Caenorhabditis elegans: one gene and its partners. The protein of the gene in region 2 purifies or fractionates together with the protein of the main gene of each other region. This does not show direct contact. Each region holds a gene or a part of one and is shown on either strand. Other genes may lie near its edges. The genes, in order: cox-4, cyc-1, K02F3.2 and moma-1.

Region 1 (6,541 bases), 5.6 Mb from region 2:
TACAGCAGGCTCAACGCCTCGGAATCTTCGGACCGCTGTGCGAACCGCCCGAAGTGCTCGTACAGACGATGCAAACGATGTGGGCTGATAATGGAGATGTGATATCGACGCAATACGCCGGAACCGCCGCGCTGAAGGGAGATGTGACGAGGAATGGAGAGCGGAAGCTGATGGGGGTCATGAAAGATGGATATAATAGTGCATCGAGGTACGGGAAGCTAGAAAAAATGGCGAAAATTCGATTAAAATCGACTTGGTTGAGGCTCACACTACAAACTACAGAATTCTGACAGCCTCAACCAGAAAATTAGTTTTGGGTGAGGCTAACACTACAAACTACACTCTTTGTGAGCCTCACCAAAGTTGATCATAAGTTATTTTTTTCGAATTTTTCGGTAAAAAATCACATTTTTTTCCTTGAATCGAGTATTTTTGAAAGAAAAAATAACAAATTTGGCTGGAAAAATCGATTTTTGTTCTAAAAACCTGAAACTTTAAACTAAAAAAAGTATTTCTGCCCTAAAAAAATAAGCATTAAATAGTTTTCCGAGTTAAAAACACCAGAAAATCACTAGGAATATTGGTTGAGGCTCACACTACAAACTACAGAATCTCGTAGCCTCAACCAAGTCTCTGCCTCAACCAAATATCAATTTCCGCCTCAAATGTTCATTTTCAATACACTTTTTTACAATTCAAGAAAATAAAAAAGCACAAAATTCACACTACAAACTACAGAATCTTGTAGCCTCACCCAAATTTTGTAGTTTGTAGTCTCTCATCCTCAACCGAATGTCAATTTCCGCCTCAAATGTTCATTTTCAATACATTTTTTCTAATTCAAAAACATTCTCACACTACAAACTACACAATTTTCCGTTTTCAGATACTACCTAACACACACCAAAGATGCTCAACGCCAAAAAGCCATCAATATAGTGACAGGACAAACGGAAGCCGACGAAAATGCAGAAGAAGAGGAAAATGAGAAGGAAGAAGAAGAGAATATCAGTCGAATGGTGACTGAAACCATACAATTCCTGGTTCCAACCCAGCAAACTGTCATCGCTGGCTGGGGATTGATTAACGCATTCCAAAGTAGCGATGAAATCGACACAGTCGTCATATTAACCCGCTCCAATTTGTATATTGTAACCTATGAAATCGATGGAGAAAAGATGACTGATGTGCAAATCGTTGCGCTGGAAGATATCAATACTATTCAAACAGGAACATCTGGAAATAATCGACAATGTGCTCGACTGGAAACTCTCGAAGGTGTATTCATTTGGAGGCCATCTACTGTTCGGTTATTTAATAATACTGCAATCCGTCTGAAATCCTTGGAAGAAGCCAATGAGTATATTTCGTCGGTCGCTGAGCAGATTCAGGTTGGCAGGAATATGCTGACTGGCGCTGAAGGTTCAGTTGTTCCGGTGGCAAAGATTACGGTTTGGGTGGCTTGAGATTTTCAAAATCTAGAATTAGAAGTTTCAGATCCCTCAAATGTCGGTTCATAGAAAATCGATGGCTGCGATGGGTGCACTGTTCGGGAAGATCAAGCGAGTTGGGAAGCCATCCAGTCTATCGAAAAGTGCTTCCACAATTTCAACTGCTCAACTTCCAGAAACCGATGGAAACGAATCGGACGCATCGCAAAAATCGGATCACTTAATGACGAAAATCCTGAAAATGTCACAATTTAAATCAGATTCTCCCCAACCCGAACCATTTTCCTCGCTACTACCCGCTATCTCCGAGTGTCAAACTAAAATTTCACTTTTGTAAAGAAATAAATAAATTATTGCCTCCTGGATTTAACAGCAACATTCAATCTATTTATTTCTGGTTTACAGGGCAGCCCATCTCTCAAGAAGCCGAACCACTTGGAAAATTTGAAGAAAAAATTGGGGGAGACGAAAGAATTGGTCAGTGCGTTCGACCGCTAGGAGAGATTTACAGCTTATCTAGGTTTCAGATGAGGGTTGGGGCGATGAAGAAGAAGGTAAGCTTGAATGTTTGACGAGAGAGTGATGGGGCGGGGGGAGCGACGACAACCAAGAGAGAATTATAAAAACGAGAAAGAAGCTACAAAAAAATTTTATTTTATTTCTGCTGAATCTCTATATTTTACTTCCACTTCTTGTTCTCGTAATCGTAGTGTGTCGGTGCACCGAGGAATTGTCCCTTCTCGAGCACAAGCGCACGCTCAACCTGAGCCTCCTTGTACTCGTTCTGGAAGGTTGGCGGCAGTTCTGGGTACACGCAGACGTTGAGAAGAACAGCATAATAGGTGCAAAGTCCGAGCACGGAGAGGATAACGGCGGAGATCACCTTCCAGTATCCGGTTGGAGCCTCGAATTCGGACAGCGTTTGACGGAAGCTGTAGCGGTACACTGAAAACTTAGCAACATTTTCAAGTTTGTCGAGGAAAATTGAATACTAACAGAGCTTCTTCTCCTCAGCAGACAAGTTCTTCCAGTCGGCTTGCTCCTTGGCGCGAATTGGGGCAATCACACTGTCCTCCTTGCGGAATCGAATAGCTGGATACCAGTAGTCGAGACGATCTTGGTAGATCTGAAAAATAAATTAATTAAATTTAAAATTTATAAAATAAACAAGGCGTACGTTATCTCCATTTGCTCCGTATCCGACGAGCTCGCGTCCAGCGGCCTTATCGGGTCCCCAGTAGAATTCCTGTCCTCCGGACAGACGGGCGGTGGTGTGCACTGCGCGGAGAGCCAAACGTGGCAGCATCATTTGACGAGCCAACATACCTGAAATAAATAACTGGTTTATGGGTTGAAAATGCAGGAAAAACCAAAAAACAAAAGGTAAATCCGGCGTCAGTGTGGAGAAATGAAAAAAACATACTCAAATGAACTATTTTCATAATAAAAATGAATTTCTAAAGTAATTTCTAAAGTGGCCGACGGAAAACACCGATGGAAACGTGGAAGAGGATAGTTTTAGTCAGAAACGAACAAACAACAGAACACACGGGTGCAATATATTAATAATCAAAAACCGTTCTCTCTTCGTGTTTTAAGGATTAAACTAGCCGGAATACGAACAAACGATGGAAATATGTGGTTCCTTTTAATTTTTGCATAAAACTTGGCAAAATCTCCAGAAAAATCAATAAATTGGCAATGTAACAACGGCTCGCCGTTGCGGGCTGTTCACTCCGTAAATCGTGTTGACTGAGTAATCAACGTTTTACACGCGTTCAAGTACGCAGCCAATTGAGTCCAATAGAGCGCTCTTGCTTTTTGAATCTTTTGGGTGAAAAATTGAGAAAAACTTTTTATAAAAAAATTTATAAGCTCAGGCTTTGGATTTTCGCTTTTTGCGTCGAAAAATCGCCTCTACGGTGCTGGAATTAATAATCGGTGGGATTTTCGCAGGAAATTCTCTGGAAAAATCGATAAATTGGCGATTTTGGCCCAAAAACTCTGAAAAACGCTGGATTTTTCTGAAAAAGGGCTTTAAATTTGTCAAGATGAGCGGAAGAATCTGAAAAATCGATTAAAAAACTCAAGAAACTGGAAAAAAATCGAAAAAATCAGTTTTATTGCGTTTTTAAATGAGTTTTCCCAAAAAAATTGGAAAAAATACGATTTTTCATTGAAAAATTGAATAAAAATACAAAAATTAGGGGGTTTCTCATTATTTTTCCGAAAAATCGATAAAACGTTGCCAAAAAGCTTCAAAAAGCAGATTTTTAGCAGTTTTTCACTGAAAATCCTCAAAAATCCCGACTTTTCCGAGAAAAAACAACGAAAATTCGATAATTTCTTCCCAAAACCCTTTTTTTCTAATTTCTCACAGAAAATTCTCAAAATTTAAAAATCTACCTATTTTAAACAATTTTTCTGAAAAATTTGAGAAATTTCATGTTTTTCGCCAAAAAAAAGCCATTTTTTTACGAAAAAGTGCTCTAAAAAATCGATTTTTCAGCGAAAAATCAAAAAAAAAACAGCTGTTTTTATTGATTTTTTTTCCCTAATAATTGTAAAAAATACCAAAAAACCCTCAAAAATCACGAATTTAGCTTCCAGATCGGTGGCCAATTGACGAATATCAACAAATATCAGGATTATTATATATCCGCAAAGAAAATCAATATTCCCGGCGACGAAATTCTCGAGATTTCGTCCGGTAGAGCGCACTCGCTGATTCGAACCAATTTGGGCGTTTTTGCGATTGGTGATAATAATTTTGGGCAATGTGGACGGAATCCTGAGAATATGGATTATGTTGTGGGCTCTGAAGGTACAATATTTGGGATTTTTAGCTAAAACTAAGGCTTTTAGGCTTTTAGAGCAGCTTTTAGACCCCAAAAAAGCTGAAAATCGAGCTCAGCGTAGTTTTTTACCCCAACACTGCAACTTTTTCCTCACGAGGGACGAGGAAAAGTGGTTTCTAGGCCATGGCCGAGGGGCCGACAAGTTTCAGCGGCCATTTATCTTGCTTTTTTTCCGCGTGTTTTCTTTCGTTTTTCACAGCTTTTTCCCGTTTTTTCTTAATAAAACTGATAAATAAATATTTTTTGCAGATGCTAAAACAATTTCCAAGTAAAAAAATCATGTATTCAGTGGGCAAGCAGCGGTGAAAGTGGGCATTGTAATATGATGGATTACGGGAATACAAAACCTAAACTTTTTCTGAAACATGATACATATGCTGCTTAAATGCTGAGACTACCTGATTTTCATAACGAGACCGCTGAAAAAGTCGAGATTTTCGCACAAAAAGTTGAATTTTGGAAACCTCAAAACTTTTTCAGCGGTCTCGTTATGAAAATCAGGTAATGTCAGCATCTAAGCATCATATGTATCATGTTTGGGAAAAAGTTTGGGTTTTGTATTCCCGTAATCCATCATATTGCATTGACCACTTTCACGCTGCTTGCCGACTGAAAACATAATTTTTTTACTTGGAAATTGTTTTAGCATCTGCAAAAAGTATTTATTTATCAGTTTTAATAAGAAAAAACGGGAAAAAACTTTTCCTCGTCCCTCGTGAGGAAAAAGTTGCAGTGTACTAATTCAGATCTTCGTCAGACTCGAAATTTTGATGAAACGTGCGGATATCGAGTAATACTACAATCCAACGGATAAAAAATCGAAGAAGTGTTCCTCTATTCGAATTTTGAAGCAGTTGAAGTAGATATTGAAATCTTTTACTATACAACGAGAAAATTGTGAAATCAATTGATGTGGGAGATCTGAAGATCGGAAAAATTTAAGATTATACAATTAAAAAAACGAGGAATGAAAAAATGATAATTTTAAGAGGGGCAAATTAATCGAGCTTCTACTCTTGAAAATATCCGCCCCGATCTCCGCGTCCACCGCGTCCTCCGCGTCCAATACGCATCCCATCAGGCCCACGAGGCTCATCTCGATTGAGAATCAAGATCTCGGCTTCAACGTCGGCTCTACGGAACTCGTTAACCTCGAGATTGGGCTGCAGCAGTACTTGAAATACTCGGGCTGCATTTTCCTGTGGAGTCCTATCATCGATAAGTGTGCAATGGATTGTCAAAGAAGCCAGATTGGGGAACTCTCGGAGGGGAATGATTCGATCGATTGAGTGGATTGTAGTTCAGTGTCAATGTCGTCAACGATGGGCAGCTGGTCCTAAGTTGCTCAAAATCCGCTTCTCTAAGATTGTTTGAGGAAGCATCGAGAACTTGAACACGCTCAAAAACATTCATTCCTCGGAATGTTGCGATTTTGACGTTCGAAATTTCCAGTGACTAAAAATACCATGTTTGATTTAACGGTGCCTAGACAACTCACTGTGATGTTTGGATGACCGGGTAAGTCTTGTATGTTGCCAGATACAGCATTCCGAATAACCAGGTCTTCGACATTTTCGAAGTTGAACCCATTTTGTTCGTAGAGCTTTTTTTGCTCTAAGTAACGATCGAGAATCGACTCCATCAGAAGGACTGACGTGGTCTCTAAAAGACTGGTAGATTTTTATGCGATCTCTTAACAAACAATCGTATTTTTCAAGAGAATGTATACAAAATCAATGAGAATTGACGTTGGAAGTATGAAAAACAACTGAAGCCAAATTGATCTCTTAAAAGTTCCAAGATATTATCAGAAAAACACGATCGCACAAAAATAAGCAACGACGCAGTGGAACAGTGGAACTCCAACTAAGACGCAGTGGAACTCCAACTGACTAAGCTTTATTTGAACTGCGATCAGCAGTGGGCGGATATTATCCGAAATATCCGAATCAGCCGATCGAATATTTCGGATATTTTTATCCGAAGTAGCCGTTATCCGAGTTTTTCACTAATATCCGAAATTGCGAATATCCGTTTGGCGGCTTCCACGGATATTATTATCTTGACTGCTACTTGTTTTATTTCTTATTCGCAAAGTTACGCACGTTTAAATAATATTTATCGTAATTTCTGGTATACTGGAATACAAAAATGAATAATTTTATTGAAAATCTGGTTAAACAATTCTTTTTTCATTCACTTTTAAAGTTTTTTTCGAATATATTCTTCAAA
Region 2 (7,305 bases):
ATGCTGCAGCACTCTGAAATTTTGCGCAAAAAGTTTTAGGTCGCGTCGAGAAATGTTGCCGTATTTTTTTTGTTGAATTCCGATTTGTTTTTCAACTAATAACTATATTCTCAAGTTACTGAAAAAATAACTATACCTCTTTTCTTTTCATTTCTTCCACAATAGTCGTCAATTTTCCTTTAGCTGTTTCAATGACAAACTGCTTAACTGGCAATGTTTTTGGTAGATTTTCCTCGAAATTTGAAACTTTTACGATTACATTTTCCAATCCCTGAAACCGAAATAAATCTTTCTTTTTGTAGATTCTCATTTTCTCACAATTTGCTGCAACAATTTGAGTCGATTTGGTGACTGACTTGCCAATACAATAATGGCTTCTTTCATTCCGAACTTGCCGTCGTGGGCGAAACACGTGGATCTGAAATTTCGATCGGCTCTTGTGCTCAGTCAATTATTCACAAAAAGTTGGGGACATCCGGATGTAATTAAACAGTACGTTTTGTTTTAATTGAGAAATTGAGAAACTAATAGATAATTAATTATTGTTATTATTATTTTAGAATGGCAAAATATCGCAGAGATGTCATGTCAAAGAGGCTTGTGATGGATTATGTGAAAGAACTTAATCCCAAAATCGACATTGTGAAGGTAAATTTTAATTTCTCAAAAACATTTTTCAATAATAAATAATTCTCAGAAATATTCAAAAAATGGCGTAACTTCATACGAGGGATTTTTCGCAAGTCCTCATGCCACTCTCTTTCCCAATCATATGCCAGGAAACGTCGGTCGAGCACATTTCAGAGCATATCTTCCTCAGAAACCAGGCCCCGTATGCATACATTTGGCAGGCACCGGAGATCACTCTTATTTTAGGTAAGAAAATTGAAAATTTATTTTAAAAAATACGGTACCTGGTCTCGGCACGACAAATTTTTTTGTACTTTAAAACTCGCTGCAGAGTTTTTAACTTACAGTTTCCTTTAAAGGCGCACACCTTTTTGCATTTAACAAAATTCATCGTGTCGAGACCGGATACCGTATTTTTGTCACAAAGATCGAAAAAGTTTGCGTCTGAATAATACATATTTAATCTAAAAAGAGAAAAAAACTCAAAAACTGAGATAAAAAGTATCGCATCTTACATAGATGCATAAATCGAATAATGATTCTTATCAGAGACCACAAAAATTTCGAAAAAATGCAAAAAAATCAAAACTGGTATCATAGATCACTATTATTTCAGACGTCACTATCTTCTTGTTGATGACATGCTTAAGGATGGTGTGGGATCTATTTTAATTCAAAATCCATTTTATGGAGATCGAAAACCACCGAATCAATTCCGTTCTTCTCTTGAAAATGTGACGGATCTTTTTGTGATGGGTGCCGCTTTAATTGCAGAATGTAATCATCTTTTCAATTGGTCTGAGACACTTGGATATGGTCCATTTGCAATTTCTGGTGTCTCGATGGGTGGATTTATGGCTCAACTTGCTGGATCAAATTCGCAACGTCCAATATCAATAGTTCCTATTCTTGCATGGACGACAGCATCACCATCATATACGGAAGGAGCTATTTCTCCAGCTGTTAATTATTCTTTACTGCAGAAACAGCTCGAAGATCCTCACTATGTTGATAAAATCCGAAGAATTCCGAATCAAAATTGGCTGGATAAAATGCGAGAGATGACTGCGAGAAACGGTGATTCAGAAGCCAAGAATATGATGAGAATTTTGATGGATGACTTCACAAGTCTTGAATTCTATCCAACACCAATAGACACATCACTATGCCATGTATTCTTGGCTGATCAGGATCAATATGTACTGCGAAATCAAGGGACACCAACATATCAACAATTATGGCCTAATGTAACTGTTGAAATGATGGAAGGATATGGACATGTTACAGCATATCTATCGAAACATGATCTTTGGCGTCGAAGAATAACCGAATTGCTCAGACGGCAACAGCAGAAAACAATTTAAAATAATTTGCATTTTTACTAGAATTTTGATTTTCCGTTTCTTCTTGTGATACTAGAACTCCCATAGCCAAATTTGAGATTGTCTCTATTTTGACATTACCGGTTTCTCTTTCTCAGTGTGCCTTTTCATAAAATAGAACTATGTCGGTAATGAACATTTTTCAACCAAATTCTACAAACATGATCTCCATATGCGATTTATAATTTAAAACTTTATTCGTCTCCACACTAAAAATAAATGTCGACGTTTTACCATTATTTGGTTTATTGGAAAAGAAAAGAAGGTATAAAAACGTGGTTACAGAGAAAAAAAAACGGATAAGAGATTTCCTATATAAAAAAAATATTCGAGAAAGTAATGATGCATCGAAAAAGTTCGTGAGCTTTTTAGTTTAAAAAGGAGTCTGACTATTTCGAATACAGCAAAAACTCTCAGAAAATGGAAAAATACTCATACTAAACTCTCCATTTTATTTTCACAATTAACAAACAACGGCGACAACTAAATTTTTCTAAACGGCTCCCGACGTCGTCCCCAATTTGAAAATTTTGGTGACTACGACGGTCGGATCGAGGGAGAGCGCGTTCTTTTTTTTTGAGGGGATGGAGGCTGTGAAAAAATGAACTAGGAGAGGAGGGTTACAAATACTCGCAATTTCATTAAATTTACAAACGATTAATCTCACAATATTTTATGAAATTGCGAGCAAATGATCGCTGATGGAAATTGCGGACGAATGAAGAGGATAATGAAAAAATAGCGGAAAGCTGGTGATTACTGAGCCTTTGGTGGCTCTCTTCCCTTGACCGTCTTGAACAAGAATTTCTGCGACTTCGTGAATGACCAGATATGTCTCTTTCCGTAGATCAGCACAACAGCCACAAATGGAATCAGAGCAGCGATCTAAATTATTAAAGTTTATTCACTTGTATATAATATTTTCTAAAATGAATTACCTTAAGAGCCCACTTCTTTCTGGTGTCATGGAATGGCTCTGCGGCCCAGTGCATGAATGCAGAAACATCCTTAGCTTGTTGAGACATTGTTGCTGGTGTTCCGTCCTTGTACTCAATTCCTTCGTCGAACAATTGTTGTGGCATAGAGATGATACCTCCTGGGAAGTATGGATTGTAAGCTTTTCCGTCATCAACCTGAAAAATGTTTCACTAATTCCTTTCAATTGTGTGCACGAAATACCTTCACTCCAGCTGGAGCCTCAAGATATCCAGTAAGAAGAGAGAAAACGTAATCATCTCCTCCGTGTCTAGCAAGAGCCATCAATGACAAATCTGGTGGAGCAGCTCCGTTGTTGGCAGCCGCTGCGGCCTTCTTGTTTGGATATGGGTTTGGCAACTTATCGGTCAGCATTCCTGGGCGCTGAATGGATGCTCCCTTATCGTCAACATCATTAATAAGAGCGTCAGCGGCCTCGGCTTTAGCTTCTTCCTTTAAAAAAAAGTCGTGATTAGCATGAAGTTATTATTTTATTCAAATTACCTCAGTCATGATTGTGTCAACGAAATGACGGTAATGCAAGAATTTCATCGAGTGGCAAGCTGCGCACACTTGCTTGTATACTTCGTATCCACGTCGTACACTGAAACATGAACGATTTATCATTATCCAAACTCAATTGAACCTACGAAGCAATGTCGAATGAAGAGAACGGTCCGCTGTGAGCCCATGGTAAAGCGTACGGGTGAACGTTGTCTCCGCTAGCGCTGACCGAGTTCTCCAAAGCGTAAACGAGTCCCATGCCTGAAGCGGCTGTGACTCCGGCAAGGGCCGCCAATCCACGCTGAAAAATACGATAATTAATTCACTGTTTATTTCAACATAAATTATTGTCTTCTAATAATAATTGGAGTTTTTGAATAGAAAGGACATAAAACTTACTTTAGATCCTTGAACCACGGCACGCTGCATTACGTACCACGTCGATTACCTATAAAATTCGTTTAATTTATTTCACTAAATTTGTTTTAAAAAAGAATTGAACGTGTGAACATTGCATAAATTTTATTCATCAATTTCCTAATTTAAATCAACTCCAGCAACGGAATTGCTTAAAAATTGAAGGTTCAATTTATCCGAATTGGAAATCTATCCAGTAAAATTATTCTGACGTGAATGAACCCGGAAATTGAATAAATTAACAAAAAACAACTGAAAAATTAAAGAAAAAGAAAATCTTGTACAGCACGGTCATCTAGAAACGCGCCAGCATCGAGAAATGTGCCCGCCTGGTGCTGGCGCACTTCTTGTGAGACCTGCGTATCCACTTTTATAACGATGTCTGCAACCTTATCGTAGAATAAAAGAAAGCTCAAAAACAGTTTAAAGATAATTTTTCTTTCCTGAAAATAACTTAATTACAGCTTTTTGGAATAAAAAAAAAGAGCGAAGAGAAGTTTTTTTATTAATTTATCAAAGAAAATAGATATTCAAATGAAAGACCAATTGAAAAAATAAGGAAAGTATGTTTCAAAAATACTCGTCGGCTAATTTTCTTTCATAAACTCCAAAATCCGATCCTCAGCATTTTTGTAGGTGCATGTCAAAATGGAAAAGTAGCTTGCGCCGATATTTTGGTGCTCCAGGCGCATTACTTCTTCCTCACTCGTAGCTTTATTGGATTCAACTTGTTTCAGCTTGACAAAGTCGACAAGCTGCTCGTGCATCGGTTGAAGAATCTTATGGTAAACTTCACGACAGAGCTCTTTTTTAATTTTGAAAACTGCTTGTGCCTGAGCTAGTGCGAACACAGCAGAGAAGTAGACAGTTGCAAAATAAACGTCATCGTATTTAATCTTCAAACACAGTGCCCAAAATTCACCAAGTTCTTCATAAAATTCAGGTGACCTGAGGCCGAATGCATTTCGCTGGTAAGTTGTGATGATGGTTGCAACAACTTGCGGTTCCAAACCAATATTTGTATCTTTCTGAATGAGAAATTTTTAATCTTTAAAAATACACCAACAGAAATCAAACCTTTTCGGAAATTTTTTTAAGAAAATGCTTCAGAAACAGAGGTCTGCTTTTGAGAGAATATCTAGAAGCTGTTTTCTCTAAAAGCTTGGCTGATTCTGTTATGTCGTTCATCCCAATTCCATATCCATTGAATATTCGAAGAGCAGCAAGCCAAAATTCTACAATTTTATCAATTTCGGGAGCTTCCAATTGAGGGATAAGCTCCATTCGTTTGTAAATCTGATTAAACACTTGAAGCATCTGACATGCTTGTTCTTTGTGATAAGTTGATTCAATTTGAAAGAAATTTGTGAACTCTTTCACTTCCAAATGGAATCGGGTCTCTTCTGAAACAACGTGTGGAATATAAAAATATTCGGAGTCCTTCTTGAAATCTTCGATCACTGAAATACGCATTTTTCAATTGAAATTTAATTCTACAACTGCTCTTACCGAGGATAGGATGAAAGGGAGAAACAATAGCGAGCTCATTTAGAAATTTCATGGGAATGTTGACCTTATTTGCATTGAGCGATATTATAACATCCTTGAGTAATTTTTCAAGAAATCTTTTCGGAGCTCCAGATAACCTCAGAATTCTACAATTTGCAGTCATTCTTCTTGCGAGAATTTCGATTTTTTCAGTATTTTTCGCAGACTCGATTTGTTTCCAGACTTCTCTACAATCATCTGTTCTTAAAATCCAGCCGTGCCTGTAATAGTAAAAAAAGTGAACAAAAGCTGAATAAAATAAAACCTACTCTATCATTATCTCCACTGCAATTTCCACAGTGACAGATGATTGTTGTTTGATTATATAGTTACACATTTCTTCCAACACCGCTTGATTTTCCAATCGATTCATCATTTGTCGAACTACCGTTTCAGATATTTCTAGAGAAACCGTCAAGTCCCATGAAATAATTTCTTGTAAGCATCTAACGAAGACATCTTCACATTTTTCAGCGCTGAATTCTTCATCGAAATTCTGAAGAGCGAGAAGAACTTCTCCAATATTTTTGGAATCCAAAGCCTGTGAAAGTTTTGACAATGCACTCATAAGGTTAGTCATATGGTGCTGAAATATTGGGGATCCTTTGACTAAACTTGAACATGGAAAATACCTAAAAAGGTGAGAACAAATCATTCAATAAATTTGAAACACTTACTATGCCGAATTTATTCTCAAAACACGAATCGAATGAGAAAGGAAATGAAACTGGATAAAAATAAATACGGGGAAAACAAGGAAAAGAGAAAGCAAAACAAGAATTTCGGAAAAATGGAAAGAAGTACCAACCCATAAAAAGCCGGATAACAACCGAGTAAAGTTTAGAAAATATTACTTTCCAGCTGTAGCTTCTTCGGCTCGGCGAATTGCGGCACGCTTTCCTACGACAGCCTTGAATCCACTCTTGATTGCTGTAACAGAGCATCTGGAACCACAGTTAGTACATTGGAGGAAGAAGAGACGAGTATCCTTGGTGAGCTGTGTTTCTGGCGACTTGCAAGTATGGCACATTACGTACTCCTCTGAAATACAGAAAATATACAATTTTTGGGAAATTTCTATTTTTTACTGATATATTTCCGGAGGACACTTTCAAATTGTTTCTGTTGCCATCTTCCTTTCACAATCAAACAGTTACTTCCGTCGATGGATCCAGTCGTTCCCAATTCCGCGAGCAAAAATTGGAGCACGTGTTTGTCTTGTCTTTTCATAAGCCGGCAAATTTCGAGGAAGTTGGAGAAAGCAGTCTTCTTTGATCCAGCTCTTGCAACTTCTGGGAGCTTGATGGCGAACTTCTTCTTGTCTCCAGCAAAGTCTGGATTTTTGTCTTTCATAACCTGATAGACAAGAGTGAGAGCTTCTTCGTATGTGTAATCTGGCCATGCCCCTTTTGCATCGATCAAGTTTTGAGCTCCAATTCCGATTTCTGAATTCATAATTATTTATTTTGAAAGAGTATTGTGCAAAATTATAGTTTTATAACTTTGTAATAAAATATATTACCGAGAGTTGGAACTTTCTCTTCAACTACTTCTTCGCCGGCTGTCTTTGGAGTTTTCTTCTTCTTTTTAGCTCCAAGGTTTAGCTCGCCTGTAATTTTGATTAATTAACAATCAGATACACATCTTCATCAGCTCACCCAAGCCATCTTCTACAGCTTCTACGCCGGTCTCAACAGGAGCATCATCGCCATCGATTTTGATCACCTTCTTAGACTTCTTCTTTTTTCCGAGATCGAGACCCTGGAGAAATATAAATTCAATTTGAAGACGAGATAAATTAACTTTACCAAATCGTCAGCCATAGTTTGTTTGTTTTGCTTGAAGTACA
Region 3 (11,157 bases), on a different chromosome or scaffold from region 2:
TTTTGTTTCAGGAACGCTTCAAAGTTGTCGATTGTGCGATGACTCAAACAAAAAAAGCGGCGACCAAATGCAATGCATATCTGACAGAAGAATGGACTGCTCTTCCAAAAGCCGCAGCAATCACCGTTGGTGGAATGGCCGGATTCGTTTTAGGCCTGAAACGTGGCCCGGTCGGACGTCTCCTCACCACTACCATCGGCTTGGCCACGATGGCCGCCTTTTGTTATCCGATAGAGGCTGTTGACGTGGCAAAGACCGGAAGAGCTCATGCTGAACAAACTTGGTATTCCTTCCAAGAATGTAGGCTTGAAATTTCTGAAAATCAGAGAGAAATAAATAAAATTTTCAGCTCCAACTCCATCTGCCATCGTCAAAACTAACTTGAGCCCACCGAAATAATTGGAAAATAATTGTTTGTGTGTAAAAAATATCCACTCGAATGTCTAGCGGTTTCTTTTTTTGTGTGTGCGCCGAACCCAGTGTTCCTGTAGTAGTGAAATAAAAATGCGATTTTTATGCAAAATTTGAAGAAAAAAAAACTGAGAAAAACAGAAAGGGAGGCACTTTTTGGACAAATTAAGAAAATAAATCTTATGTATATAATATATATATAGAACGGGCGAGGGTGGGGAAGGGAGAGAAAGTCACCCGCAAAAATTTAATCTAGGGGATGGTGAGAAGAGAGGCGCGGCACATTTTTTTGTTGATAAAATTGGAAAATTTATATTGGAACACAGAAATATTTTTACTTTTTTTTTAGGAACTTTTCACTTTCAATCAAAATCAAAATAATTTAAATTTCCAATAAAAACTTCGTCTAAACAACGAAAAAAGAAAAATTTTGTAAATTTTCCGAAAGTTTCAAAAAAGGTGCAGCACATCTCTGGTGAGAAGGCGAGAGGGCAGCGGGGGATCAGCATTATGGGTGGGCATTTTAATTTCAAGAAAATTTTGAATTTTCAGTGGGTGTAAATGTATGGCTATAAATGATTTTAATGTGGCTCGTACATATTTTGGCATATAATCACCCCGCCACTTTTTTTTCGATTTGTGTATTATTTCCCCTCATTTTAATATTATCCATTTTAATAAAACGTGATGTCCATTTTCCATCTTTAGGCTTAGAAATGGTTATTTCCTAAGCCTAAAAATACAAAAACTCCACACGTTTTTATTTGAAAAAGTGGCTGGGTGATTTAGGACTAGTACCTTAAAAAATATTGAATTTCAGAGGTTTTACACATAATTTTTTGAGCCAATTTTCAAGAAATTTCGTGATTTTAAATTCCAGAAAATCGGGCCATAAAATGATGCGTAAAACCTCTGAAATTCAATATTTTTCGAATGTCTATAATGAGAGCGCCGCCAAAATATGTATAAGCCACATTAAAATAATTTTTTAACGATACATTTTCAGATACTGAAAATTCAAAATTTCGTGAAATTAAAATACTCATCCCTGATCAGCATAGTACAGGTAAAATACAGAAGAAGTTCAAAAATAAGACTAGGATCGAACACTTTACCTAAAACAACACACACTGACTACGGGGAATATATAGGACTCTCTACTTGCTCGTTTCGAACTTTGGCAAGAACAATCCGAACTTGTGTTCGATTCCGGAGAATGTAGCTGCCGCCAGCTTGTATCCACCAACGTGATCCGGATTCGTTGACGACTCGTCTTGAATTGTCTTCGTCGTCGCAAGCTCGGAACCAGTCGGCCGGGATCCGGCGAAATCGACGTAGAAGAGGCGCTGGAGAACCTCGTAAGTGAGAAGAGTAACTGCGAATTGAGGACTTGAACGGCACACACGTGCAGCTGTACCCTTCCATAGTGACATTGGACCCTCTTCTTTGATCAGCTTCCGAGCGCAATCTGTAATTTTTTGTCAGAGTAAGTAACTAAGAAACTAGGCAAAAACTGTACCAATGACTCCATTATACGTCGTCTGTCCAGCTCGTGCAGCTACTTGAAGCCTAGTCTTGATAACATCGGCAGGTGTTACTAAACCAGCGGCAGGCACTCCAGCAATAAACGCGGAAGCAAAAAGTGTTCCCGGTGAGTTCATTCCATCTTCATCAGCAGATGCGAGTTTTGCGTGAGCGTATGCCGGGAAATAGATTGCTGAGAACGGAATATCCCGAAGGAAGCACGCACGGGATCCTTTGTAGAGTCCAAGGAAACCGAGTTCTGAATTAAAAGTTTGAGTATTATGCGATTTCTTGTGTGTCTTTATTGCCAGAAGAAAAGGCACCACGTTTTAAAAATCTAGTCGAAAACGAGATCTTCGAAAAGAAGATCTAGGATTTGGCACCGCCAGATCCCGAAAACGTAGATTTTGTTTTGGTAGATCTTCTTTTCGTAGATTTTGTTTGCAACTAGATCTCGAAAACGTGGTGCGTCAGAGAATGCACCATGCTGCACCTTTAAGAACCGTGAATACTCCGATCTTCTTTCCCGCTTGTTGTACTTCTCCGGCAGTTTGTAATCGAATTTTAACAATTTCCAGGGGATTTGTGAACACAACTTGGCACATTCCTCCGGTTCCTCCGGCGATAATTTCTCCATAAAGTGGAATTTTTCCGTCTTTAGTGAATTTATCTCTCATATAATCGTTCATTGTCAATTTGATAGCTTTTTCTGGTGCAACACCAACAATTTGAGGCAAAAGTCCACGATAAAGACCCAAGAGTCCTTCGAACTTCACGACTTTCTTGAAGCAATCCAGAGAGTTTTTATACATTACTTCTCCGACGAATGAGCCAGATGTACGTTGATTTTGCATTCGTGTCTTCACAAGATCAATCGGATACACTGCAGTCGCTCCACATGCTCCGGCTACTGATCCTAATAAGAAACGGTACGCGGATTCGAGGAACTGCAATATGAAATTTTTAGGAATTTAAATATAGGTAGTTGTAAACAAATTTCCGGCGCCAAAAAATTCTTACCGCAGTTCCAACACCTCTGTCATCTTTATGGTGCACAGCTTTGATGTTGATAAGTCGATCCATTTGTGAAACACGCTTCAGACGTTCAGGATCAATTGCCTGAATGTCCTTTAGACAGAGCGTCTTCCGTCCTGGATGATTCAACTCTGACAAGTGGAACAGGATTTCGACCTGGAAAAAATTGAAAAATCATTTTAAAAAATTACTTTAAAAATAACTTTATTTTTATTATATTTTTTGATTGTTTCAGAAAATCTAAAAATTTTAGATTTTCCGATCTTTCCTGAAAAACATCGAAAATATAAAAATGACATCCTTGCTTATAAAGATGATTCCGTATTTCAATCAATTTTTGGTTTTTTGGGAATATCTGAATTTCCTGCTTACTTCATAAGGAGTAACTTGTGTATAACTTTGAATTGCATGCAGAAACTCTTCTTTCGTCATCTCAATGTCCAAATTTCCACGTGTCGTCGATACGTAGACACGCTTGATAAGTTCCATTTTGGCGAGAAGACTGTTGAAAGCAGCATAGTAAGGGAAGGTCACCTGGAAATTGAAACGTTTTTATTGAATCGAGATTCTGGAGAGGTATTGGCTTCTTGAGGAAGACATGGTGCAGGACAGAACGAAGAAACATACATTGAACATAGGAAACTTAAGAAATCATGCAAAAATCAGCCCGAATATCATAGAATCTCGTGTGTTTTCTTGCTCGCAAAAACTTCAGCCAACAAGTTACCGAACGGGTGTATATCGACTGAAAACCTTTCGAAGATCGAATCGACCAACACATGCGAAATTCTTAAGTAGTTTAAAAAATCATTTTCCGACCACTAGAACAAGTTGAAAAGTTTTGAGATTATAGCTAAAGTGAGTTTAGCTTTTTTCTTTGAAATTTTGAAAAAAGAATGAAAGCAAAAAAAATATTTTTTAACTCTTTTTATTTAAATAATTTTGTCTCGACCACATTTCTAAAAATCCGAATATAAAAAATTGTTCGAAATTGTTTGTACTTTGTTGCATTTCTATTTATGGTTTCTAAGCGGTTTAATTATTACTTACACAATATCGACTAAGAATTTTTATAGCATGCTGATTTTTCGTTTGGCCTACCTACAAATCACGAAACCAAAACAAAGGACACCCAAAAAATGACAGAAAAGAAAACTTACAAATCCACCTCGAGTGTCGGAAAACTGAAAAAGAAGGAAACCACTTCCAAAAAAAATTAGAAAACTTGGGAATCTACGAATGAACATGCTATATCACTCCACTATACAACATTTGGAAAACTCACTTCCAATACTAAGGAATTCTATTTCAAAAAAAAAAGAAAATCAGAATTAGTAAAATAATAATTAAAAACCAGAGCAAAAATCAGAGAAACAATGAGGATTTTACTTTAAAATTATGGGAAACACTCGGAAATCTAGAATATCTTATTTATTGATATTTTTCGAATTTTTCGAAAATCAGTTTCCAGTCATTTTTGAAAAGACCGACGTTTTCATTTATGACAAAATTCAATTTCCATTTTTGAATATACTTCAGAATTTCCAACTTTTTCCGAAAATTTTCAAGCAAAATTAATTTAAATTCAGATGTTTTTTTCTCACCTTGTGTCCACTGGCGCCGCCGCCAGACACCGCAATGAGGTTATGCCGAACGAAATCCGTGAGCAAGTGTCCTTTGACAGTAGTCATTATTTGTTGGAAATCCAGTGATGAGATGGTTCCATTTCCATTTTTATCGTATCTTTTGAATGCCTGGATACCCTGTTCTTCGTAGAAATCATGAAGAAGTTGACAGAATGAATGATAATTCACGTTTCGTTGTTTGTCACTGAAATAATTAAAATTTTTATATGTGGAAATATGGAGCAGTTTTCGAGTTAAAAAAATATATTTACCAACCGGGAAAAGTTTAAAGGTGGAGTACCGAATTCTGAGAAATATTTTTAAATAACTCCAAATTTTCTCCCGACTCCGAATGTCAAAGTGAAAAAATTCAAAAAATTTCCCTTATTTTATATTTTTGCTTGAAATCGCGAATTTCATTTTTGCACCCATGGTATTTTTCAAACGCCGAATTTACGCGCCAGAGAGGTTTTTTTTTTGAATTTTTTCACTTAGATATTCGGATCAGGGGAAGATTTGCCATTTAATAGTCATGTAATAATTTTTCTCAGCTTTCAGTACACCACCATTTGAAGAGAAAATCAAAAATGTTCAGTTCTTCGTTCAAAAAAAGGAAAAAAATTTTGAAAAATTTTGAAAATGTTCTTTCAAAAAAATTAAGAACCCAAAAAACTTTTTTTAAAATTAAAATTTTGATTTTATCGATTTTTATAGTGAATTATATTTTTTTCGCTGCAATTTAAAATTTGAAAATCTGAATAAATATTTTTCAGTGAGATTTCTCAAAAACTTACGCTCCAAAATATCTCTTGATGAATTCCGAACTAAAATCAAAGTCCTGATCATGCAAAGGCTGAGTATGCCGAATCACAGCTTCAAACTCATCACAGCTAATGGTATCCGAAGCGTTTCGATCGAAAAGTTCGAAAGCGGTGAGATAAAGAGCATCCGGGCTGCACAAGAGAGCTTCAAAAGCGCAGAACTCTTCGAATGAGATGTCTCCATCTTTTGTAGTGTCTGCGGCGGAAGCAAGAAGACGAACAGTCTCCTTATTATAGTTTTCTTCCGTGTAAAGACCTAAGTATCCTCGAATGAAATCCTCTGGGGTCATCAACTTCTTCCCTTTTATTTCTTTAGTCGCGAATCGATCGAAAATCGGACGAAGATGGTCTGGATTCGCTCGTGGAATGGCTGAAAAAAATAAATAACTTAAATATAATTTATTAATTGTAAAATTAAATATTTACATCTTTGACTAATTGCAGTTTCTGCATTGCATTCTGCTTTACGGAACAGTCCCGTGGAGAACACATCGCTTCCGTGTCCGATTCCCAAGTTTTGTAGGAGTTCTCGTCGTTTTGATGACGTCAACAGATGATCGAAAGACATTCACGAGGGCCTGAAAACTAAAAAAATGATTTCAAGGAAATCAAGGAAATCAACGAGAATTTCGCATGTAAATTAATATAAAATAAAAGAGACAAATATGGCTAGCTGCAAACGCGCTCTATTGACAATAATTTTTAGCGCGAAGCTTAAATTTAGATATTGAACTATTTTGCCTAAATCAGATGATAACCAGGGAAACAACATGCGATAAGATGAAAAATGTGATAAAATCGTGTGCTGAGCGTTCTCTAGTACAATAATGTTGACAGACACAGAGAATGAAAACGTGCGTGAAACAAAATTTGATCCCCATGATCTCAATGTTACTCAGACAAATGATATCAGAGATACTTCGCTTCCTTGAAATTTTGAAAACCGGCAATTGCCGAAATTGCCGATTGCCGAAAATTCCCAAGATCGGTAGTTGCCGAAATTGCCGATTGCCGAAAATTTTGACAACCGGCAAATGTCGAAATTGCCGATTGCTGGAAATTTTCGATTGCCGCACACCCCTGGTCCAAACTTAAATTGCCAAAAATATCTAGAAACACAAAATACGAGTAATCAAGAACTGGGGAGGGAAGAACGTAGTGTAGTCTGGTGTAAATGACTACACCTTGATAAAAAAAGGTGTACAAGGAGTTTAGTTGGACGGAAGGGTATAATTTCACCCAAATTTAGATTTCTCACCCGACCAGGGATGTAGATGTAAACTCTAAGGAGGCCAAACTGTCAGGGAAAACGAGATAGGATCTTTGACTTGTTATATTACACACACACACATACACTGTGGAAAAATAGTGCACATGCTGAGGTGCCATCGAGATCCTTAGTTGGACAAAAATTCCTTGAATTTTCTGTTATTTTCCATCAACAACTTGAGTACTATCTGAAACCTTAAGGGCCCCACTACTCAAGAAGTTGCAAAAATTCCAACAAAGCAAAATCCCTAATTGCAAGAAAATAATAATACTACACCAAAACTAGGCCACAAAGTAACATAAGTAAACCGAATAGTCTGTTATCTCATTCTGTCTCTACCTTTCTCCCTCTCCTACCTCCACCCAATATTTACCAACTGGAATGTAAGAAAAAAATGAAGAAAGGGAATAGAAAACATAAAGGCTCCCGTCAACTGCTGCTATGCTCTGATGCTCCCTGCGTGAGAAAAGATATTTCTCTCGTTTTCACTCTTCTCAAGCTCATCTTTTTTTTGGGGAGGGAGAGGCGGCGGTGGACATCTATTTCCGAAGTACATAGGAGGAAAGCCAAGAATTGGGAGGAGATATAGAGGACAAAGAGGAAAAAAATCAACGTGGAATACACGACAACAGGAAAAGTTGATTCACAGGTTTTTTTTGCCAAGACAAGGAACTTGGCGACCTCCCAGACTTGAGGTTTATCACGTAGATAAATTTGAAAGTACTCTAGGCCAAAGTTTTTGTAATTTTGATGAGCTAATTAAAAACTTGAGAGATTCTGGATTTGAATGGATTTGCTATAAAGCCGAACCTTCGTAAAAAGGAAACACTCACTTAAAGGCCAGGCAGTTTTGCGATGACATGCCCCCCGGACTGCCCACACTCTGTGTCGTCTGCGTAATCTATGTTGGTTATGGTCTCTCGTCTCCCCCCAGCCTCAACACAGCAGCCTTCTTCCCATCAACGAACGAACGAGTGCCGCGCGTGTTTTTAGCGTGGTCAACATGAGGAAGACGAAATCAAGAAACTTGGCAAGTTGCAAGAGGAGTCTGATAGGGAGGTTTGAAGTAAACGAGCATATTTGCATTTTAATAAAACTTCGCAAATTTTACTCCAGACTGTTGAGCAGAAATTTTCAATGGTATTCACTGTGAAAGACTTAAGGTAGGCAGGCAGATGGGATCCTAGTACAAAATCCTGAAAATGTGCCTACCTATAGAAGTTTATTTTAGAAAATGAATCATAACATGGTTTTTTTCTGGTCGAGCTGTGATATGGAGAAGAAGAATGAGAATGATCTCCCTGTATAAATATAATAGTTCGACGGTTGTTCAATAGACCTCAAAAAACTTAATGTACAAATCAAATAGATTTATGTTTTTGAACTATTCAATGATATGGAGTCGAAAAAGAAAATTATCAATTATTGGTGAGCACACTTTGCTTATCCATCAATTTGATAGTATTGAAGACTTGCTCACGATCCTTGACGCAATCCAATGGTTTCAGGTTGTTAACGATAATCGAGTAGGCTTCAAATTTTTTGCTATTAAGAAGTTTCACAGCCTCTGGGAATGCTTCTTCAATCTTTGCCGCTTCCGAATCATCCTGAAGAAGAGCTTTTGCTCCACTAACTGCGGACTTGGCATTGTTGAAGATATGGCAAGCCCAGACAACACGGTCAGGGGAGGCATCGGTGTACATTTGAGCTTCGAGCTGTAGGATTTGAATTTTTATGAATAATTAATGTAAACTCACCCCATTGCAATATTCTTGTCCCTTTGGTCCCAATTTGGCAACCTGTTCTTTGTACTTGTTGTACATTGTCTCATATGGACCTGCCAATGCTGGATAGCTCTTCTTCATGATTGCGATGTACTCATCGTAGTTCTTCGGCTCAAACTTGCCTGCGTGATAGTCATTCACCATCTGAACTGCCTGAGTTTTCTGTTCGTCGGTGATGTTATCAAGTGGTTCCAGAACGTAAGAAGGCATGAATTCTTCAAAAAACAATACAACTAGTTTCAACTTGAAAATACAAGTACTCACGTTTGTATTCAGAATAGGCCTTCAAAATTTGATCAAACTTCTCCACAGTGAACACCAAGTTTGTAAAATCCTTCTCGGTCATTTGTTCTTCAGCGGGGCGACCCAAAACGAACACAGCCACTGACACAAGAATTAAGGAGCATGCCCGTAAGGTAAACATCTTTTTGATAATTACTGAAAAAAACAAAATTTGAAAACGAGAATAAATTCAAAGTTGTGAGTGTAAAATTTGATTGACCTCACCTTTTATAGGTGGATGGCAGAACTGTAGGCGGATAATGAAACCAAAAGAGGGTGGAGGGAGATTTCGTCGAACTCAGGGAGGGATTTACTTTTCGTTTGGCACTACTAGTTAGTTGAAGTTTCACCAGTGATAACCAATGAGCAGATTAATCGGTCAAACATTGAAATTTGAAATCACATGAGCATCTTACTGAAGAACTGTATAATGGTAATTGAATGACAGAATTTTTTCCAATGTTTATAAAAAATCTTAAAAATGATTTTACACTAGAAATCTGTAATATTTCAATGCTGTGATGAAAAATATGAAAAATGTCTTGAAACATTTTCAGAACATCGGGGTTATATATTCATTATTTTATTCATTATTTCATTATTTTATTCATTTATTGAGAAGAAAAAATCAATAAAAAGGGGTTTCTAGTTCAACGAGCACCTTGGTCTTTAGATTTTTGTAGGTGGAATTTCAAAGATGTTTAATCGATTTCTGTACAATAACGTTCGAATTATAATACAAATCGAAAGTCCATTACCACACTTATTACTCTGAAAATTTTTCAGTAAATTTTTCAAAACTTTCCAGGCCTGTAAAACTGTTTTAAAAAAATCTGAGAAGGAATTTTTCAGATTTTTTCCAAAAAAAATCCCAAAAAGCTTCCAGAATACTTGTCTTCTTTGAAATAGTCTGAAAACCATAAAAATTTTCAAAAATTATAATTTGGAGCAAGTTTACAAGGCTCTAAAATAGTGAAAAGTGTACTGATAGCAATTTCAGATCGACTTTGTTCCATACTCCTGCTCATTTGCTCGCAGTGCTTCTCTGTCGCAAAAATTGTTGCCGGGGTCTATTTAGAAGGTCTTCTTTCAAATGACATAGGTTCCATCCAAAGGTCCAAGATAAAGTTTAAATACTTCCCTTGCTAGTTTAAACTTGCGAACGTAAGATCCCAATCAACCAACTATATACAAAGTTAATGTATTTTGCAAACGACTATATCTTGGAAATTTTCATAACTTTTGAGAAAGTGTAGCTTTAGCCGGGTGGTTTTCCATTTTAGTCTTCCCCAGTTCTGATCTATGTTTACTAAAATTTACCGTTTTGACATGCATGGATTGAGTAGAAGAAACAATGGAGATAATCCGATTTTAATTGAACACAAAAACTTCCAAATGGGAATTTATTGTTTCATACTCAAAACACATCAAAGTAAGAACGATTTGATCTTTTTTGTTGTAACTTTTACCGAAAGGGTTCAAAGATACCCCTTTAAAAAAAAAAATATAAATTGATATTATGTTCCATATCTCTCAATAAATCTCTTAACCTAGGTAGCTACCATTCCACCTGAAAACAAATTTCACTAGTTTCCCTCACTTTTTGTTGTTTTTTCTCCCTCTTTTCTAAATATCTTATTTTTTCAATGCTGTAAAGTGATATAGTACATAAATGACAGAGACGCCTGATAGAAGATCGAGATGCCAACCAACACCAGCAACACGAGACCTTTTCATTTTAGACGGAACATTTTCGAAAAATACGAAAAATGACTTCCTCTAACAAGATTCTTCTAGTGTTTCTTTTATTCTTTTGTATTCAGGACGTTGCATCTGAAAATGGTCTTGACGTTAGTGCGCTCAGTGGAAAAAGCAAAAAGTTCTTTTTCGATGTGAGTGAATTTGGAAAAATGGTACAATTACACTGTAACGTTTAAGATGACAAAGCAAGTTATGGGAGTTCCATCATTGAAGCCAGAAAACCTGGCAGCCCAAGCGTTCTTCCGTAGTTTCTTGGATAAGTATACAAAGTTGGATGACAAAGTGAAAAATGATATGACACAGCACGTACCAAAGGCGACGAAACTTTTTGATGCAGCTGGTGAGTTAAAAAAAATTTTCGTGCGAAATAGTGCAAAATACGCTAATCCTGAAATTAGTCAATTTCCTATTAAACTCTATGATAGTAGACGGTCTTTTTTTAAAACTATTTTGAAGGAACTTTCAACACGGTTCTGACTTGAAAATTACGGTGAAAGTATTGGCTTGTTGTTGCCAGAACTGACAAACTAATAACTTCGGAACATCACTGCACAGAAAAATCACTAAAATCATATTTAATCTATTATTGGCCTACAATTCCAGCATTTTCAGCAAAAAAATACAACATTGACCCAAGTAGCGCA
Region 4 (5,169 bases), on a different chromosome or scaffold from region 2:
AAATATGTACGAGCCACATTAAAATCATTTATAGCCATACATTTACACCCACTGAAAATTCAAAATTTTCTTGAAATTAAAATGCCCACCCATAATGCTGATCCCCCGCTGCCCTCTCGCCTTCTCACCAGAGATGTGCTGCACCTTTTTTGAAACTTTCGGAAAATTTACAAAATTTTTCTTTTTTCGTTGTTTAGACGAAGTTTTTATTGGAAATTTAAATTATTTTGATTTTGATTGAAAGTGAAAAGTTCCTAAAAAAAAAGTAAAAATATTTCTGTGTTCCAATATAAATTTTCCAATTTTATCAACAAAAAAATGTGCCGCGCCTCTCTTCTCACCATCCCCTAGATTAAATTTTTGCGGGTGACTTTCTCTCCCTTCCCCACCCTCGCCCGTTCTATATATATATTATATACATAAGATTTATTTTCTTAATTTGTCCAAAAAGTGCCTCCCTTTCTGTTTTTCTCAGTTTTTTTTTCTTCAAATTTTGCATAAAAATCGCATTTTTATTTCACTACTACAGGAACACTGGGTTCGGCGCACACACAAAAAAAGAAACCGCTAGACATTCGAGTGGATATTTTTTACACACAAACAATTATTTTCCAATTATTTCGGTGGGCTCAAGTTAGTTTTGACGATGGCAGATGGAGTTGGAGCTGAAAATTTTATTTATTTCTCTCTGATTTTCAGAAATTTCAAGCCTACATTCTTGGAAGGAATACCAAGTTTGTTCAGCATGAGCTCTTCCGGTCTTTGCCACGTCAACAGCCTCTATCGGATAACAAAAGGCGGCCATCGTGGCCAAGCCGATGGTAGTGGTGAGGAGACGTCCGACCGGGCCACGTTTCAGGCCTAAAACGAATCCGGCCATTCCACCAACGGTGATTGCTGCGGCTTTTGGAAGAGCAGTCCATTCTTCTGTCAGATATGCATTGCATTTGGTCGCCGCTTTTTTTGTTTGAGTCATCGCACAATCGACAACTTTGAAGCGTTCCTGAAACAAAAATCGGTGATAAAAATATATTTTTCACAAAATTAGTTTAATTTTTACTTTTACTCAATTTAATGATATTAAAAATTTTCAATTTCCTCTCGAAAATGGATATTTTCAATGTATTTTTTTCTTTTGTGAAACACATTCGGTTTTCACTTGAAAAAACTACAGATATCAAATAATTACTTAAATACAAAAAATTAGCTAAATAAAATAATCCAAACTCTTCTTTTAAAAAAAAACCAATTAAAAACGAAATATAATTTTTTCTCCACATAAAATCGCGTAAAACTCACAGCAACACGATCATACTCCTGCTCACATGCGATACGAATAGTCGCGAATTCTCTTTGAAGAGGAAGTGGCTCTTCTGGAAGGAATTTCTGCTTCAGTGGAGCATTATCTTCAGCATAAATCGGAAGTTGCTCAATCTTAATAGGTTTTGAATCTCCATTATTCGTCGTGTTTTTCGAGGTGACAAGTTGCCAGAATTGTCCAAAAACATTTGTCACTTGTTCACCGGCGTTTGAAATTGTCTCCACAATCGGCTTGTCTTGTGTCATCTGGAAAATCAAGCGGTAAAACAATAAAATAATAAAACAAGAATAAATATTTTAAAATTGATTAGCTTATTATAATTATTAAAAAACCATGAAGAAATAAGTATTCCTACATTTGTGGCGCAAAATATCTCGTAGCGCAGGCTCTGTGTCGATTTACGGAGTTTGTGTTTATTCACGATGCGCCTTTAAACAATTATTTAAAATTGATTTTCTTTGTATTTAATTACCACTTTTTCATAAATCGACACCGACGCCTGCGCTACTATATATTTCGCGCCAGGCTTTCTTGTTTTTTTTTTAAATATTTTCTAACATTTAAACCCCTCTGAGGACGGTTTTAAAATTAAAATAGATAATTAACAGGCAATTAACCATGTCTTTAACCAATCCAAATTACCCTTAAAACACCCAAAATAATTTATTAAAAAAACGAAAATTGGGGAGATCTTTTGCATAACAAAACAGAAGAATAATAAACAAAGGATGTTCAGAATTTGGACAGTTTAGAATGGGGTTTTAAAATGGAACGTCAGTAATGGAAGTTTAAGAACGCGATCTTCTGCCGGCTGGAGAACGAGAGCGGCTGGCACGGCGGAATCTGTTGGGCCCTCCAAGTGGCATATTGTTGGCTCCTGAGCCACGGCCGCCCATTGGAGAACGTCTGCGATGTGGTGGTGGACTGCGGCCTCTGGAATTTGATGAAAATTATCAAAATATACTACTTTTCCTTGATTACTTACCCTCTTCTCATTGGTGACATTCTGTCTCTTGGTGGCGGCGAGCGTCTTCTAAATGGAGAACTTCTACGCTGGAATGGGACAGATTGTCGTCCGATAGTCATTTCGACGTGAACAGCCATTCCATCGATTTGTCCTCCATCCATGTGCTTGATCGACTTTTCGGCGTCTTCCAAATTGTCATATTCAACGTATCCATATCCACGATGAACATGGTTATGGAAGCGATCTGGTGGAAGATCGACATTCTTGATGGCTCCGTAGATCGAGAAAATCTCCTCGAGGTGCGTTTTCAGAACATTTCTGCTCAAATTTTTGATCACTACACGCTTGGCCGGACTGGCTGATCTTGCTGCTGGGCTTCTCCTCGGAGAAGCGCGTCTCCTCTGACGGCTCCCGCTTCTGTCACGACGATCACGACGTGGTGGCGATGGGGATGGACGACGGCGACGTGGTGGTGATGGTGATGGTCGCATTGGGCGATCGCGATCCGCGCGTGCTCCTCTTGGCGGTGAACCACGACGGATTGGAGAACGAGAGCGTCCTCCACGAGCTGGTGGGCGGGTATCACGACGACGTGGTGAGCGAGAACGAGAACGGCCACTGGACGATGAGCTGGAGGAGCGAGATCCTGATGAACTACTTCTGAAATATCGATTATTAAGCTATTGTATGAAAATTGTAAAGCATACCCAGAAGATGACGATCCAGAGCTACTGGACGAGCTGCTTGAAGACGAGCGAGCCCTCTTTTTGGTTTCTTCTTTCTCAACCATACTGAAAAATTATTTCATATACTCGAATAGACATCAACTAAGTAAGAAAATTTTCACCGCGTGGTGTTCGAGCAGAAGAAGAGACAGAATGTTGGCTAAAGCGCTTACTTTTTTGAGTAAATAATTAACCAAAAACAAGAATTACGGATTTTCAAATAAATTTTTAATTGAAAAACAAGAAAAAACCTATAGAAAAACTATAGAATTGAAAATATCGAATCATTTTTCGAAGAGACGCGGGTGAATGATTTACGGTAAACAACGCGCGCGGTGGAATATCGGAGTGTCGTTGCAAAACAAAACACTTTCGTTTTTTTTTTCAATTTCAAAATGGACTCTGCAGAATCTGAACTTTTAGAAGAAGAAGAGCTCCCAGAAATCAAATATATCGACTCTGCAGAATTCCAAAATTTCGATAATAACGCTGATCAGCGTGAAATTCAGTTTCGATGGATGGAAGCATTTGAAACAAAAGGTAATTTTTTCCCAAAAAAGTATTTTAGCACTAAATTCTTTTGCAGAACCAAGATGGTTTAGGCTTCTTGACGAATTCATCACTCCACTTTCTGGAAAACGTGGATATTGTTCTCGAATCGTCGAGAAGTACGCTCGAGTACTTCTTCATCAAGGATTTGAGTTGAGCCAGACGGATGGGCCGCTTCGTGTCGCAGCAATTGCGGCTTCGAGAGATGTGGGACAAGCCGGAAATCTTCCATCAGTATTGAACAATTTATCAGAAGTTACAAGACATCTGAATCTTGCTCAGTATGCCAGCACATCGCTCGCCACTGTAGGACAGAGGAAATTCGCAAATGAAGTCGTCCAGTGAGTGATTTTTTTTAAAATTTTATCTTTTCAATGGAAATTTCTTTCAGAAAAACTGTGAATCAAGAGCGCCTTGGTTGTTTTCACCTGTTCCTCATTGGATACCGCGAAGGACTCGAAAATCTTCTCTCAAATCATCGACACCTGCGAAATTTTCGATATAGTGCAAAAAAACGGCATGACCTTCTGACGGAGCACATTAAGAATATATTTCAAGAGCGAGATTCGTTTATTCAAGCACCAGAAGCTAGCAGCTTCGCACTTCAGACGGTTCTAGAAAACTGGACATTTCCACTTCAAAATGAACAAATTGTACAACTCGCCCATGCGAATACTCTTCAAATGCGCGCTCTTCACGTCAAAGGAGACGGTTTTTATTTTCTAAACGAAGCACTCAATGTGGCTATTGCATTCAACTGGTCCAGCTCCCAGGAAGAAATGGAAGAATTCTATTCAATTTTTACTCCACAAGCGACAAATCCACGTGGAAAACGAATTTTTCAATTTTGGAAAATGATTTCCAAGTACGATAGGAGTAATGGAAATGCACAAGGATTCTTGGTGACTGCTCAGCGATTAGAAGAGGAATCCAAGTCAGATGATATTGGAGCTGGATGTGTGACAGCTGTGGAACTTGCGTGTAAAATTCGCAACCAGTGTGATCAGCATGAAGACTTGTCAGTTTTCCGCTGGATTCCAGAGTTTCATATTTAGCAGGCCCAAAACGAATGCTTGGCAGATCCAAATTTTTCGCTCAATAAACAGCAAATTTACCTCTCTTTTCGTTTTCTCCTTCAATAAATCGAGACAGTCTGTCTGCTTTGGTCAGCTAAACATTTAGACCAAAGTTAGGTATGATAAATATTTAGCAGACCAAAGTTAGGTATGCTAAATATTTAGTAGACCAAAGTTGGGTATGCTAAATATTTAGCAGGCCAAAGTTAGGTATGATAAATATTTAGCAGACCACAGTTAGGTATGCTATATGTTTAGCAGACCAAAGTTGGGTATGCTAAATATTTAGCAGACCAAAATTAGGTATGCTATATATTTAACACACCAAAGTTAGGTATCCTAAATATTTAGCAGACCAAAGTTGGGTATGCTAAATATTTAGTAGACCCAACTCGAATACTTAAATAGCAAATTCTTCGTTAAAAAAACAACAACATTAGCTGAAAATGAGCCAAACCTCAGAGAAATCAATAATAATAATATTAACTGTTTTAGAAGTAAAACCATCATGGATACAATAACCCGTCACCC

What was found.
Region 1: the proteins of cyc-1 (region 2) and cox-4 fractionate together in Caenorhabditis elegans (co-fractionation; one large-scale study listed by BioGRID). This does not show direct contact.
Region 3: the proteins of cyc-1 (region 2) and K02F3.2 fractionate together in Caenorhabditis elegans (co-fractionation; one large-scale study listed by BioGRID). This does not show direct contact.
Region 4: the proteins of cyc-1 (region 2) and moma-1 fractionate together in Caenorhabditis elegans (co-fractionation; one large-scale study listed by BioGRID). This does not show direct contact.

What each region holds. Positions count from the first base shown.
Region 1 is NC_003279.8:13,656,352-13,662,892, forward strand, and holds cox-4 (Cytochrome c oxidase subunit 4), read right to left. Parts: upstream 2,778-6,541; 5' UTR 2,761-2,777; coding exon 2,629-2,760; intron 2,578-2,628; coding exon 2,448-2,577; intron 2,397-2,447; coding exon 2,131-2,396; 3' UTR 1,820-2,130; downstream 1-1,819. Other genes in the region: sac-2 (SAC domain-containing protein), read left to right, coding at 1-208, 887-1,451, 1,498-1,788; W09C5.12 (Leucine Rich repeat-containing domain protein), read right to left, coding at 5,522-5,764, 5,808-5,951.
Region 2 is NC_003279.8:8,020,484-8,027,788, forward strand, and holds cyc-1 (Cytochrome c domain-containing protein), read right to left. Parts: upstream 3,940-7,305; 5' UTR 3,921-3,939; coding exon 3,891-3,920; intron 3,793-3,890; coding exon 3,638-3,792; intron 3,592-3,637; coding exon 3,492-3,591; intron 3,441-3,491; coding exon 3,192-3,440; intron 3,146-3,191; coding exon 2,951-3,145; intron 2,898-2,950; coding exon 2,769-2,897; 3' UTR 2,191-2,768; downstream 1-2,190. Other genes in the region: dod-18 (Nucleotide PPase), read right to left, coding at 137-271, 319-384; C54G4.7 (AB hydrolase-1 domain-containing protein), read left to right, coding at 371-492, 561-648, 698-876, 1,247-1,994; C54G4.9 (RAP domain-containing protein), read right to left, coding at 4,496-4,936, 4,986-5,368, 5,418-5,677, 5,726-6,036; eif-2beta (Eukaryotic translation initiation factor 2 subunit 2), read right to left, coding at 6,307-6,497, 6,545-6,901, 6,979-7,065, 7,115-7,217, 7,265-7,279.
Region 3 is NC_003281.10:840,688-851,844, reverse strand, and holds K02F3.2 (putative calcium-binding mitochondrial carrier K02F3.2), read right to left. Parts: upstream 5,985-11,157; coding exon 5,843-5,984; intron 5,787-5,842; coding exon 5,390-5,786; intron 4,801-5,389; coding exon 4,575-4,800; intron 4,155-4,574; coding exon 4,131-4,154; intron 3,505-4,130; coding exon 3,343-3,504; intron 3,127-3,342; coding exon 2,956-3,126; intron 2,883-2,955; coding exon 2,429-2,882; intron 2,195-2,428; coding exon 1,931-2,194; intron 1,880-1,930; coding exon 1,569-1,879; 3' UTR 501-1,568; downstream 1-500. Other genes in the region: moma-1 (MICOS complex subunit MIC27), read left to right, coding at 12-300, 350-399; far-8 (Fatty Acid/Retinol binding protein), read right to left, coding at 8,105-8,401, 8,444-8,685, 8,735-8,894; K02F3.9 (DUF148 domain-containing protein), read left to right, coding at 10,522-10,644, 10,691-10,853, 11,126-11,157. UniProt on the Caenorhabditis elegans protein: Mitochondrial and calcium-binding carrier that catalyzes the calcium-dependent exchange of cytoplasmic glutamate with mitochondrial aspartate across the mitochondrial inner membrane.
Region 4 is NC_003281.10:850,831-855,999, forward strand, and holds moma-1 (MICOS complex subunit MIC27), read right to left. Parts: upstream 1,567-5,169; coding exon 1,300-1,566; intron 1,004-1,299; coding exon 715-1,003; intron 666-714; coding exon 616-665; 3' UTR 501-615; downstream 1-500. Other genes in the region: rnp-5 (RRM domain-containing protein), read right to left, coding at 2,110-2,254, 2,307-2,948, 2,996-3,078; tag-51 (uncharacterized protein), read left to right, coding at 3,409-3,553, 3,600-3,903, 3,954-4,580, 5,134-5,169. UniProt on the Caenorhabditis elegans protein: Sustains mitochondrial morphology probably through maintaining cristae morphology. May act as a component of the MICOS complex, a large protein complex of the mitochondria.